2 linked regions of the Notamacropus eugenii genome follow. The protein of the gene in region 2 interacts with the protein of the main gene of each other region in a biochemical or structural test. Links are inferred from orthologs where the notes say so. Each region holds a gene or a part of one and is shown on either strand. Other genes may lie near its edges.

Region 1 (7,449 bases), on a different chromosome or scaffold from region 2:
GCGTTGCCAAAAATAGCTCGAGTGGTTTCCCCAAAGAAATCTTTTAAAAAAGAAAGAGCATAGACAATTTTAGACAGAAGTTTGCTTGTTTGTGGCCTTGGTCTACCTGGGAGGACTACTTATATCCTGGCCCCTCCTCTGTTTGTGAGGTGACAGCAGAAGCTGCAGATGCCTAACAACATGTGTGTTTCACCCAGCAACCCCTTAAACCTTAACCTAGAGAAAAGTTTTAATGTCAGAGCTGTCCAACAGAGAAGTTGTTTGTCTTCAGGAATGTCATCCCTATTGGGAAGATACATTTAGAGCTGGAAAGGACTTCAGAGGCCATCTAGTCCAACCCCTTATTTTACAGATAGGGAAACAGATCCAGAGAGATCAAGTGACTTGAAGGTTTACAGGTAATCAGGGGTGAGATTTGAGCCACTAAGCCTCTGATTCCAGGGCCAATGTAATTTGTGTACCCTACCGGAGAATTTATCTCTTAGGTTTGTAGAAGGGATTCCTTCCTGTCAGATTAGCTTAAGACCAGCATAAACTTTTGTCATTTCAGTTACCAATCTCTGAAAATTACTATAACAACCCCTAATAAGGGTTTGGCTAGAATTTGTAATTCTCCATTGGGAAAGACTGCAACCCCAGTTTCTTCTTAAACTGGGGAGAACTACAGATCCCAGTGGCTTTTGTGACCAGTCAATCCAGGAGTGGTTTGATTACAATTTTAAAATATTTCTTAGTAAAGTGCCTAGAATGTCATGAAGAAAAATTTCATCTTTTAAAGCACTGAACTAAATTTCATTCTGAACTTCCCTTTTTACTGTGGAGGGGCACTACCCTGTCCCCAGTCATTCAAATTCAAAACCTTGTTGTCCTGGCCATTTGCTATTCCTCACTCTTGTCCCTCATATTCAGTCTGTTGTCAAATCTTGTCATTTCTAGCTCTGTGACATCTCTCATACATCCCATTCTCTCTACTCATACAGCCAGTACTCCAGTTCATACTCTGTCCTATCTCCACTCCACTACTGGAGTAGTTTTTTTCTAAATTAAAGACCTAACTGACATTGAGTTCTGTGGCTCCCTATTCCAAGATCAAATTAAAGACTTTGGTTTGACTTTTAAAGCTCTTCGTGATTTGTCCTCTTCCCCTTTGAAATCTTACACTTTACTTGATTCTACACACAATGTGATCTAGATACAGTGACCTTGCAGTTCTGTGGTCGTGATGTTCCATCTCTTGTTACCATGCCTGGCACTCATTCCCCTATCTTAGAGATGGATACTATTAAGACACAAACAGGGGTGTGAGTGTGTGTGTGTGTGTGTGTATAATATGTAGATTATATATCTATCTGTTCTTTCTTTGGATGTAGATAGTGTCTTCATATGTCCTTTATTTTTTAATTTTTGGATTTATAACAGTGAAAGGGACTTAGTCTTTTGAAGTCATTCTTAAAACAATATTGCCGTTACTGTCCACAATGTTCTCTTGGTTCTGCTTATTTCACTTTTCATCGTTTCATACAGGTATTTCCATGCTTTCTAAGATCATTGAGCTCATCATTTCTTATAGTATTCCACTGCAACCATATATCACAATTTGTCCAGCCATTCTCCAATAGATGGACATCCCCTCAATTTCCAGTCTTTGACACTGCAAAGAGAACTTCTATAAACATTCCATTCACATTCAAAGTTATAATTAGTTTATGAATTTCTCTCCATCTTATTTTTACTCAGTTTTGTTTCTTAGCCTCTCTTTTTACCCTATCCCTGTCACCTTATCTTCTCTCCCTCTCAAGTCCCTCTCCTACTTCATCCACCCCTCCAAGAGTCTCTTCATCTCTCACAATCTCAATCAGTACATTCCTCTAAAAGTCCCTCCCCTAGTTTTCTCATTTTTGCATGCTCAGAAGACTTCTACACTCTCCTGGAATATTCTTTCCTATCATCTCTGCCTCTTAGTTTTTTTGACTTCCTTCAAGATTGAGTTCAAAGCCCACCTTCTGTGGAAGGCTTTTCTCTGACTCATCTCTGCCCCCACTCCCAGATGTGAATGGCTTCCCCCATTGATGCCATATGCTCTATATAGATTATGTATGTAGTTAGTTATTTGTTACTATCTCCCCATTAGACTGTAAGTTCCTGGAGGGAAAGGGAGATTTCCCCCCCATTCTTTGCATACCCAGTGCCAAGCACAGTGGAGGGGGGCACAAAATATACACTTAAATGCTTATTGGTTGACTGATACTAAGTACTTTTAACAGTGGAGACTGACTGGTGATGCAGTATCTTCTGAAGGAATGGGGATCCAGGTTTCTGTTAAGTCCAAGAAATTGTAAAGACTAAGAGGAAGCCATCTAAGAGGAAGAGGAATTTATCAACAACAGAGCAGGATTCCAGAGGGCACAAGGAAAGGGGAAGACAGAGTAACAGAATTGCAGAGGTGTATGGTTGAGGTTGATGGGAATGAGAATAGAGAATGCTATAGCAAGGGAAGATTTTCAACTTGGCAGATGATGACTGAATCACAAACATGCTTAGGTCTCTCCAATAATTAAAACAATAATTACAATCACATTTACATAGCTCCTTAAAGTTTACAAAGCACTACCAAAATAAAGTGCAAATGAGTACATGATTTAGGTATAAAGGCTGATACTATAAACAAATTAGGGGAGCAAGGAAGAGTTCATCTGTTAGATTTATGGTGAATGGAGGAATTTATGACCAAACAAGAGATAGAGAACATTATGAAATGCAAAATGAATAATTTTGATTACATTAAATTGAAAAGTTTCTGCACAAACAAAGCCAATGCAACCAAGGTTAAGAGGGAAGCAGAAAATTGGGAAAGAATTTTTACAATTAATATCTTTCATAAAGGCTTCATTTCTAAAATATATAGAGAACTGAGTCAAATTTACAAGAATACAAGTCATTTTCCAAATGATAAATGGTCACAGGATATGAATAGGTAGTTTTCAGAGGAAGAAATTAGAACTATAGTCGTAAGAAAAAATGCTATAAATCAGCATTGATCATATATTGGCTCTGACCACACTTGAACAATTAATATTTCTTCAGTTACTTAAATCTGAACTTTATTTGCATAAAAATGTTTTATAATCATGTTCATATAGTTTCTGGGTTTCTCTTGGCAGCTGTAATCTCAGGTATTTTATTCTTTCCATGATTGTTTTAAATAGGGTATCTCTTACATCTCTTGTTGCAGGTTTGAACTTTTAAGTGAAGGATGAACTGCGCTGCTAGTCTTAGCCTTGTGCTTCTTTTTAAATTTCAGGGTAGTTAATCCTTTATTTATGTATTTTACATGAATAACATGATATGCTTTACTGAATACTTTATTACAATTAAGTAAACTATATTGCTAGCATCCCCCATAGCAAATTATTAACCCTGTCAAAAAGGAACTTAGCTTTGTGTTGAAAAAGACAGCTCGAAAAAGTTCTTCATTCCCAATGCCTTAAGTTCCTTAATTACCTGTACTTTTGTTATTTGAATTTCTGATCCAGTCAGTCTGACTGGAATTGCTGTCTCAAAAAATACTAGTGACTATCAAATTGCCTAATACAGCCTAATTAATTTCAATGCTAGTTACTTATTACCTGTATTTCTGTGAAGGATCTAGACATTTTTGATCATCTTTTCCTTCTAGATACTCTCACTTTTCTTATGAATGTTATATGTTCTTGGTTGTTGTTACTATAATAATGTGTGTATAGTGCTTTGAGGTTCCCAAAGAGCTTTCTTCACAACAGGACTGACATGAGTAGTTCAGTGCAGGTGTTATTATCCCCATTTTGTGGATTTAGAGGTGAAGGCTCTCAAGGGTACATTTCTTGAATGGTCCACTACCTAGTAAGTTTGATAATCAGTTGAAGGAAATGGGGTTGTTTATCCTGGAGAAGAGAAGACTTGAGGGTAAGCAAGGAGGGGAATGTTATAGCTGTGTTAAAGTATTTAAAAGATTGTCACCTGGAAGCAGGTTATATTCCTTTTGCTTGGCTCCAGAGGAAGAACTGGGATTAGTGGATAAAAAAAAGTAAAAGGGAAATTTTTCCTAATAATTCAAGCTGTCCAAAAGTGGAATGGGCTTGTTCAGGATATAATGGATTCTGCCCTCACTGGAGGTTTTTGAGGGATGCTTTCTTCATGTTTGCATTGGGCTCTTCCAGCTCTGAAATTCTGTGATTCTGCATATTTAAAGTGACCAGAATAATTTAGAGTACCTTACTTCATAGGTTGGAAAGTAGTTAAAGAATTAATAATAGCTGTCATTTGTGTAATGCTTTAAGATTTGCAGAGCACTTTGCATGTAAACTCCCTTGATCCTCACAGCACGCCAGTGAGGTAAGTGTTCTTATTATTCTAGAACTGAGGAAACTGAGGCTGAGAGAAGTGATGGGACTTGCCCAGGGATTGCCCAGCTAATAAAAGGACAAATGACAACTAGCTGATGTCAGCAGAAGACGGGAGCATATTTTTAGAATATTAATAATTTTCTGAAAATAAGAATTTTGAAGTGCTACTTACCCAACAAAATGAGGTAAGTACATGTTGTTGTTAATAATGGTAACTTGTAGTTACATAAGCTTCCTTACAGGAAGGGTAGAAAAAACTACTACTCCCAGCATTCCACTGGACACCTTTTCCTTGGGGCAAAGTTCACAGTCACATTGACCGGGGAAGATTTTGAGGCCCGGTTGTGTGTAGCTACCTGTTTTTCCAGTCCGGATTGAAAACTGAAAAGTTTCATGCCTTTGGAATTTGATTATTGAAGTGGGCTTTGATTCAGAATCCACTATTAAGAACGCTTTTCCTGTCATCAGGAATCTGTGAGTAAGTAAACTCAGTTTCTTCATCTGGAACATAGAAGGGTTAAATTAATTGATCTTTAAAGTCCTAGCTCTAACAATCCCATGATTAAAATTAACGTTCAACTTTACATTGTTTCCAGAATGCTTGCTTTTCACTATTGCACTTTTACCAACCCCAGTCCTCCCCCTCAAAAACAAGTCACCAAATAAGGAAGAATGTAGTATTTTGTGTTTTGGTGGAAATATGGGAAATATAGGTTCTAGAGAATGAACTGGAAACCTAGCTCCTGGGTCTGGTTAAAATCCTTACCCTGTTTAGCTATGTAGGAAAATTAAGAATAGTGCAGAGTTGAAGACAACTTTATGATGAGCGTCTCTAACCTTTAAGAGTTGGGAAAGAGCAAGGCTTGAAGCTTAGGTTCTTCAATTCATCCAACAGCTTGGTTTCGTAATATAAATGTGCAGTGCTCCTCCAAATTACAGAAAGTTACCCTGTCCTTCCTTACACATGATATTTAGAATGGTTTTGTGTTGTATCAGTCAATCAATAAGTATTTATTAACTACCTACTATGTGAGAGGCACTGCAAAGCTGTGGAGATACAGACAAAAATGAAACCAAGTTTGTTGAACTGATTTATTTGAATTATTTAAAACTCAGCTGTACCCACCAAACCTATTATAACTTTTTCTGTTATCAGAAATGCCGAATTTGAAACTTTGTTTTTCTTATTAGACTTGTTTCAGTTCCCAGTGAGGAACTCTTCCTATCAAACCAGATCAGGCCTGTAGTACATCTTATTGGTGGCTTTTTGGATTGGTTAATTGACTTGCCCAGAGTCATATAGCCTATATGTATAAGAAGCAGGACTTGAACCTAAGTCTTAGAGGCCAGCACTCTCTCAAAACTTCATATTTTTACTTTATATCATTAACTAAAATGGATCCTTGTACCTGGCCAGAAATCTTTTATGTTGTTTTGGTTCTTATGTTAAACAATAATGAATCATAATCATAACAATGATACTCATTATTATATAATAATATATAAAATAGTAGTCACAACTATAATAACAGTCATACCTTCTTAACTTATTTTCCCTATTCACTTACCTTTTTATGTACCTTATTAATTAATAAATGACCCATTGGGGTAATAAAAATTAAGGTACCTTAGCGGGTGATTAAAAAAATTTCAAAACCTCACTAAGCCTTGGGGCTTTCCGGTGTTATATAACGCCTTGGGAAACATAGTGTAAAATGTTTACAGTGAAGGACGCACGGCTATGGTAGTTGGTAGATCAGAACTGGATGACCAGTTATGCTGTGAAATTGTCATATAACCTTTGGGTACGTGAGTCACAGATTATTTATTTGACTTTGACAATAATGTGAAGATAATAGCATTGGTCTAAAGAGCTTTGCTCTGTAATTGGCAGCAGGGTAGAAAGAGCATTGACCTTGGAGTAAGAACCTGTGGTGCAAGTTGCCATACAGATAATAGAGTCGCAGTCAGAATTGGAACATAAGTTTCAGATTCCAAATGGAATCTTTCTATTATACCACATTGCCTTGGAATAGTTGTTAAAAAATTAGTGCAGTCAAACTAAGAGCCCTTTCAAGGGATTACATATGTAAAACTTACTAGGGAAACTCTCCTAAAAATGAAATGAAATATTATGGGCTAGGAAAGCCTTGAAAATTAAATATACCATAGAGAAAATAAATATACACATATGTACATATAAACACATATATGTGTGTGTACATATATTTTATATACATTCATTTAAAACTTTTGAGTTCCAAATTCTCTCTTCTTTCACGCTCCTCTCCTACCCATTGAGAAGGCAAGCAATATGATTCCCATTATACATGTGAAGTCATGCAAAACATTTTCGTATTAGCCATGTAGCAACAAAAAAAGGCAAGGAAAATAAAGTGGAAAAAAATGCTTAAATAAAATACTTAAAAAATGCTTAAGTAAAAACAAGGCTTAAATAGAGTTCATCAGTTCCCTCCCTGGAGGTGAGTAGTATTTTTCATCATGAGTGTGTTGGAATTGTGGATCATTGTATTGATCAGAGTAGCTAAGTCTTTCACAGTTTATCATCACTACAATATTGCTGTTACTACGTATGATGTTCTCCTGGTTCTGTTCACTTTACATCATATCCAGATGTTCATATAAGTCTTCTCAGGTTTTTCTGAAGCCATCCTCTTTGTCGTTTCTTCTAGCTCAGTAGTATACCATCACAATCAGATACCACAAATTGTTCAGCCATTCCCCAATTGATGGGCATCCGTTCAATTTCATTTTTTTGCTACCATGAAAAGAACTGCTATATTTTTGTACATTTGGATCCTTTTTCTTTGATCTCTGTAGGATATAGACCTAGTAGTGGTTTTGCTGTAAGAAATCTTTTAAATGAGAACTCCAGAGTTTTACAGAAGTTATTTTATGGGCTGCTTTTATGGTTTTGTGTACCATGTGAAATTCAGCTGATTGAAATTGCCCAGGGGAAGTTCTTTTTATCTTCTGACTGTCAGAAATGAAAAATTATCACCACTAGTGAAACATAGAGGGGATTTTTCCTTTAATAAAGTAATTG
Region 2 (7,443 bases):
GCATTAAAAAGCTCTAACAGCTGAACTGCTCTTGTGCATCAAACACATCTGCCTCCCAAATGCTGTATAACCCTTTACAAAGGTGCAAAATATAATACAAAAGGGACATCCAGAAAGAAATTCTCAAAGATCATTCATTTGTTTAGCATATTATCCCATAAACTTCATCATCACCCACACAAAAACATCAAACAAAGCCCAACCCCTGTGCAGCTGGGAAAGATTCCAGATTATCTTCTTGCCTTATATTGTACGATGTTCCCAGCATGTGGAAAGTGCAATGTGGCCACAAATAGGTGCACATAATCACTGTTAAGTCCACCCTCATAAATATGCTCAGCTATGATTTTGCTGACAAAATTTTTCCCTGTGCCAGTCCATCCATGCAGGGAGAGGGTGAGAGGTTTCTTGGACTTTGGGTTACTTATGAACCCGGACACAGCATTTAATATCACTTTCTTTGCAAGGTGCTGTCCAAAGAGCTTGCTGTCAAGGTCCTTCTGTAATGCTGAGGAAAAAACAAAAGTTGTCATATACAAGTAAAAAACTGGTTGGCAGACTAGATAAAACATACTACCAGCTAAGGATTGGTTCAGATCTTCTGGGATGCTAACCAGCTATAACTAGCAGTTGACTAAAATAACCTGACTCTTCAGCCCCAAAGAAATTCTGTGGAGGACTCCCCCTCCCCCAAACCCTTGCTATTTCTTCCTTGCTGCAAACTTCCTGGGCCCCACCTATGCCAACGACACATCATCTTCCAGCTTTTTCAAACAGGAACAAAAACTGTCCATCAGTTTGGCAGAAAGGCCTCTGCCTCTTCAGTGTCTACATCACATCTAAGAATTAAGTAGCCAAATCTAACCTTACTTTATGGCTTCCTATCTTGGGAAAGGAGGAAAATGGGGCTCATGTAGATTCAACCACCACCTGTACAACTGAGGGAGACAAGACTCCCTCTTTCAATATCTCTCCTCTTCTCAATGAAGAATATACTTTTAAGAAGATTCAATTACAAAAGTATTCTATTTTCTCTTGCAAAGAAGGCTGAAGCAGGGTCTACAAACTCCATTTTTTGTTGGAGGCAGCAAGCAGCTCCCTATCTCAACTTCCAACCTCTTCCCCACAAAATCTCTGCACTTACCCAGGGAGCCCCCACTACTCTTTCCATGGCACCCAAAATGTTCTCCCTTGTCCTTACCAGATACCACCACTCCTTATCCCCTCTCCCTCCCTCCCTCCCCAATCTCCAAGTTTTACTTTTCTATGATCTCCATCCTTGAGGAAATACAATACAATGGAAAGACCACTGGACTTCAGAGTCAGGCACCCTGGGTTTTAATTCTAACTTTGCTATTTTAATAATGGCTCAAAATTCTGGATTACAAAGTGTTTTACTGACAATACTATGAGGTGAGGGTTTTCTCTCTTTTTCTTCTGATCCAGACCTGTGATTTCATCTATAAGAGGGAAAGTTTGTTGCAGAAACTCCCTTCATCAATACAGATGGACAACTCTCTGGTTATTCATCCATATAATTTTCTGGGGACACTTAAGTGACTTACCCAGGGTCATACAGGACTTGAACCTGGCTCTTTCTGACTCCAAGCCTAACTTTTATCCACTAAACTCATTCTTGCCTCTCCACGTGGTGACCTCTGCCAAGAAGCATGGCCAAGTCTTGGGCCAGTTAATTATGGTTGGTTCTCACCAATTAGGAGCATGGGCCCAAGCCTGTCAAACTGGACAAGGCATGCAATCTCACTCAAGCGTCTTCCTCTTTAACCTAACCCAGCAACTCCTTCTCCTCCCCTTTAGCAACTATAATCAAATCAATACTACCCTTTTTTTCTGGAAAGGATTTGCCAAGCAAGCATCATGCCAGGCCCAATGCTAGGTACTGGGCATACGAAAACACAAAACAGCAATGCCGACTCAGGGGGAGTTTACATTTTAACTGGAGAGACAACAAGGTCATATAAGTGTATATGGAACAAACATAAAAAGAATAAATACAAAGTAGTTAAACAGTAGTTTGAGAAAGGAGGCCCCTAGAATTTGAGGAATCAGGAAAAGCTTCAAGTAGAAGCAAACAACTGAACTGCATCTGAAAGGAAGAGAGGGGCCCTATGAGGAAAAGGAGGTGCTCCAGGAATAGGGCAAAGGTCTGGAGATGGGAGATGGCGACCAACTGTGCTATTATTGTTCCACCCACCATCTTACCCAAACTCCCTGCCCTAGTCACCACCATCCCAGTAAGAAAGGCAGCTCTAGAGGGGCAGGGGCCCTCTCAATTCTGTTTTTATCCGCACGGTTTCTGTCGCAGCCAGGGGGCGCTGTGGAGAGTCCGCGGCTTGGAGCGGTCAAGCTCGGAGTTGGAGTCCAGTCCCAGACACCTCAGGCCACCCCTTCCCTCCGCACCAGCACGTGCCTCCGGGGCGGTCGAGGGCAGTGAGCTGGGCGGACACTCCCCAACCCCGGGGCCTCACTCGACGCGGACCCACTTGTGGAACCCTGGGCAGGCTGCTCGTCCTCTCTAAAGGGCCGGCGAAATGACGGGGTTGGCCCTCACGACCCCCAAAGTCCCCCCAGGACCCCCGCTTCTCCCCACATCTCAGAGCGGGTCTCTCCACACTCCTGGCCTCCAGCTTCCGGGGAGCACCCAGGGTCCGGAGGTGCTCATCGCCCCACTGTACTGATGGAGAAACTGAGACTCGCGAGAGGACGGGGCCGCCCTCCCTGCCCCCGGCCCGGCCCCGGCCCCCGGCCCGGCCCCGGCCCTACCCTCGCGGCTGAGGCTCCGCTTCTGGCTGCAGCACTCGGTGAAGAGGCAGTAGAGGCGCGGGTAGGAGATGTAGCCGGTGAGCACGCCGGCCAGGGCCAGCCCCAGGCTGATGGGCTCCACGGCCCGCACCAAGGGCGGCGCCAGCAGCAGCAGGCCCAGGGCGGCCCGGACCAGCTTCATGCCCGGACCGCACGGAGCCGAGCCACACCGAGCCCGCCTTCCCGGCCACGGCTTCGGCCGGTGAAGATGACAGGCCGCCGCCGCCGCTTCCGGCTCCGCCCCTCCTCTACCGCCCGCCGCCATCTTTGTGAGGGGAAAACACTTCCCGCGCCGCCTCCGAGGACGGGCAGCGAAGCCGGAGCCGGCCATCTTGGAGTGGGGCAAAGAGCCGGCCTCCTCCCTCCCCTCCAACTGCTTAAGACTCTGATTCCAGACTTTTTAGTCTCAGGACCATTTTACACTCTTGAAAATTATTGAGGACCTCAAAAAACTTTCCTTTACAGGAGTTATCTTTGTCCATATAGGTGGACAGAGTGGATAGTGGATAGAGCTGCTAGGCCAGTTAGACGTAAGTTCAAATTCGGCTGTATGACCTTGGGCAAGTCATATTCATCTGTCTGCCTTAGTTTCTTCAACTAAAATAAGAATAATAGCCCCTCCCCCCAAGGTTGTTGTGAGGATCAAATGAGATAGCATCTGTAAAGCACTTGCAGTTCCTGGCACACATATACATGTGTATGTATGTTAATAATCATTTAATATCATTTTTGGACTTTAATAAGGGCTAGAACCTGAATTAATCAATCAGAAGAAGAGCCTGGCCCAAACAACCTCTTTATTCTCTGAGTAAACTCAGAGAATACCTCTTCCTATGTCAACAAGGCTAGAGGGGGCTTTTCCTTTTTCCTCTGTTTAAGGATGTGACCCTTAATCGGACACAGTATCTTTTTTCTGTATCTTAGTATTTTGTGGACATTTAAATGTTATAACATGTTAATAGTAAAGAAAACACAGATATCCTGGGTCATAATTTCAACTGGCACTTTGTCAACTCTCTTATTGTATTTACAACTTATTCAATTAAGAAAATTCCTTTCTCATGGTATAAACACATAGAATGTAATTCTGAGGGAGGGACACAGATATCCTGGGATTGTCCTAAAACAGATTTAAGCCTTGTCACTCTTGTATCAGTCAGTCAGAACTTATATTTTGTCTCTTTGTACAAGTTCTAGTTTAGACTAGCTCAAAGTGAATAAACAATATGCATTAACATATCACCTACCCTGTTTGCCTCCTTTAACCAAATTTCCAGATCAGCAATGTATATATACATATATATACATATACGTAAATACATACACACACATATATATATATATATATACATAAGTACTTAATAAATGTTTGTTCCCTTCCTACAACTTAAAACTTGATACAATTTTAAAATATTCATTTATTAATTCATTTAAAAATGACAATGTATCACAAGTGAACATGAATGTTTTACAAAAAATAACCCTATTTTCCAAAACAATGAATTAGTGAGAAAGCATTGCTTTACAAATCTTTTCAAATTTTGACTTAATGGAAGACACCTGATTTTCCTATCTGCTTCTGCATTGTATATTGTGATACAGTTTTGACTGAATATATGAATAGGACCAACTGTGTGTAGTTGGAAAAGGGAGGAGTATTTAAATAGGCAAGTAATATCTTAGTATTTTTAGGAAAATAATTTTGATCTCAGGCACCCCCTGAAAAGGTCTCAGACACCCCAGGGTTCTAAGGACCACACATTAGGAATTCGACCTTTCCAGGGTATCTTGATGTGTCAAGATTCTGAGAGCCTGCGACCATCTAGTCCACTTTTTCCATTTTACAGATGAGGAAACTGAGGCCCAGGAGGTTAAATGACTTGCCTAAGGTTGTACAGGTGGTAAACTATAGAGGGTAGATTTAACCCAGGCCTTTGGTCTCCAGAACCAGTGAGCTTTCATACTGGAGACTGTTTTCTTCCTGTAGAAGACAATGGATTTTGTCTTGGCTTTTTTGTCCTTAATATTCACTTTGTTGTCACACAACTGATAGGGATATTTTCTAATGCTTGTATCAGATTTCTAGGGTAGTTAGGCTCTTTCTTGTAAGCAACTCCCAGTGTTACATCGAACATTAAAATTGTGCCCTGAGTTTGGATGTAATAATCCTTCTCAGACCACCAAATTTCTCTTGGTTAACTGTATCCTAAACATTGAATTTAATAGGACTACTGTTAGCATGGAAAACAAGGGGAAGGACCTCAACATCCAAGGTGACCACATCCTTCTCAAATTCACCAGTCAAGTGACATTTTCCAAATGTGGCTTTTTTCTTATTACCATCTGACCTACTAATACAAGTTTGAACTGAACTTGGGGTCTTCCTTGGGCAGCCTTGCTGATGGCTCTTCTAAAAGTTATCTCTCTGTCTGAATGAATTATCTGATTTCAAGGTAAATGCTTTTCTCACTATACATCACCTTAACTTCAATGGGACTTGGTTTCCCCTTCTGTAAAATGAGGGAGTTGGCCTCCAAGAACCCTTATAGGTCTGAGGTTCTGTGATTCTTCACAGGAAAGGCAGACTAGATGTGTTTGTACTGCCCACTGGTACTAGAGTCTGCCACAACCAAATTCTCCATAAAGAGACTTGTTGCAACTAGAAAACACTTCTCCTCAATAAGGCAGTAAAAGGGCCTTGGTTAGTCTGTTCAATTCTACTATCAGAATTCACTAGTCATTTGGCAAATCCTAAGATCATAAAGAGCCCACCTCGTGTTCAACCTCTTTATTTTATAGATAGGGAAGTTGTGACTTGAGAACACGCAGGAAGGAAGGAAGCACAGAAGGCAAATCACATGGCCGAGGTCTAGCAGACCACTGCAAATATGCCACAAAACTGAATACAACTGGACTGCCTACTATGTGTTAGGTTAAATATTAGAAATACAAAGATAAAAATGAAAATCTGCCCTTGATGATCTTTCATTGACATTTGATAGACTGAAATCACTATTCCATAGATGTGTACAAAATATATTTTTTTTACTTTATCTATGACAGAAATTATACCTATATATAAATCTATAATCTATCATTTCATTTGTATACAGAACTCTCTACCAATGAAGATAGGCATACTTGTCAGTGAATCAGCCATCAGTCAAAAAACATTTATTAAGTGCCTCTTATGTGCTAGGCACTGTGCCAAAAGCTAGGGATACAAAGAAAGGCAAAGTGTCTGCCCTCAAGGAGCACAATCTAAAAGGAAAAACATGTAAAACCATGTAGAAACAAGATATATACAGGATAAATTTTAGATAATCAATGGGGGGAAGGCACTAGAATTGAGGGATTTGGGAAGGCTTCATGTGGGTGGGGTTTTAGCTAGGACTTGAGCCAGGGAGTGATGAGGAAGGGGAGCATTCCAGGCATGGAAGCAGCCAAAGGAAATGCTTGCTCAGATGTAATATTTCATTCAAGGAAGAACAAGGAAGTTGATGTCCCTGGATAGTGAAATACATGGGGTTGTTGGGAGGAAGTCTACCATGTCCTAAGTCTACCACTTAGGAATACTTGGCTTATGAATGCCAGGGCTAGGGCTCACACATACAAAAATCAATATAACTATCACCCTCAAGAAGTTTATATTCTGTTTTTTTTTTTAGAATAAAGTTTTATTTATATCATTTTTTTTCACATCACCTATTCTTTCCCAATGTTCCCTTTCTCTTGTCTTGCAGAAAAGTTTCCCGCATAATTGTGATAGGACCCTGTCCAAAGAGAGGTCATTCTCCTGACTGAGATTAATTGCCTGTTTGGTAAACCTGCTTCTCAATGTCAGCTAAGAAAGAATGGAGGGGACTACTCTACTACTAAGCATATCCTGTCATTTTATGCTTGTTTACTTTGCAGTGAAGAAAAGGCTTTTTGGTTGGCTGCATCAGCTGGCTTCCCTAGTTTTTCTTTCCTTGTGGTGAGCAAGGCAATACCTGCTGTTAAGCCTCTAGGTGTGAGAAGAAGTACCAGGGCCAACAAACAGGTCCTACATATGGCTCGGAACATATGATGTCTTTTTCTTTCTGTCTATTTGTTGATTCTTTCCTACTTTTAGGTGACATGTTAGAAATGAACCACACTGTGACCCTATAAGCTTTGAAAGATTAGGGGAGTCACAAGTGGCCCAGGATCTGGAGTCCATCCCAAAGTGTGTCATTTTCATCAGCAACAGCAGCAGAGTGGAGAGGCATCAGCACTGCTGTGAGCAGTGAACTGCTGGACTAGGTGTAGCAAACTCATCAAGGGGCAACTTTTCCAGTACACATTCCAGGCCACATTCATAAGCAGACTTGCTGGGACAAATGTTTCCTGACGGTGGCTATAAGCTGGAGCCCACTCTCCTCGGGGACTGAAGTAGCATGAACCCCAGCGTGGAGGGGATGTTTGTATTTCTGACCAATATATCTTCTCAACAAACATCCTTTGGTAAAAGCTAACTGATATTAATTGGTTAAATAGTATTGGGATGCTCATCACTGGGGCAATAAATGGGGGAGATACTAACTGGGGAACATGTTATAACGAGGGGTTGAGCCAATAATATTAAAGGCATTTTCTACT

What was found.
Region 1: the proteins of TOR1A (region 2) and TOR1AIP2 form a complex in vitro, tested with the Homo sapiens proteins (4 studies listed by BioGRID and IntAct, with this or other methods). The link is inferred for Notamacropus eugenii from reciprocal best matches to the Homo sapiens genes TOR1A and TOR1AIP2.

What each region holds. Positions count from the first base shown.
Region 1 is NC_092873.1:465,746,584-465,754,032, forward strand, and holds the start of TOR1AIP2 (torsin-1A-interacting protein 2), read left to right. Parts: upstream 1-4,393; 5' UTR 4,394-4,567; intron 4,568-4,668; exon of another isoform or gene 4,669-4,860; intron 4,861-7,449. UniProt on the Homo sapiens protein: Required for endoplasmic reticulum integrity. Regulates the distribution of TOR1A between the endoplasmic reticulum and the nuclear envelope as well as induces TOR1A, TOR1B and TOR3A ATPase activity.
Region 2 is NC_092872.1:481,392,084-481,399,526, forward strand, and holds the start of TOR1A (torsin-1A), read right to left. Parts: upstream 3,062-7,443; 5' UTR 2,966-3,061; coding exon 2,785-2,965; intron 509-2,784; coding exon 243-508; intron 1-242. UniProt on the Homo sapiens protein: Protein with chaperone functions important for the control of protein folding, processing, stability and localization as well as for the reduction of misfolded protein aggregates.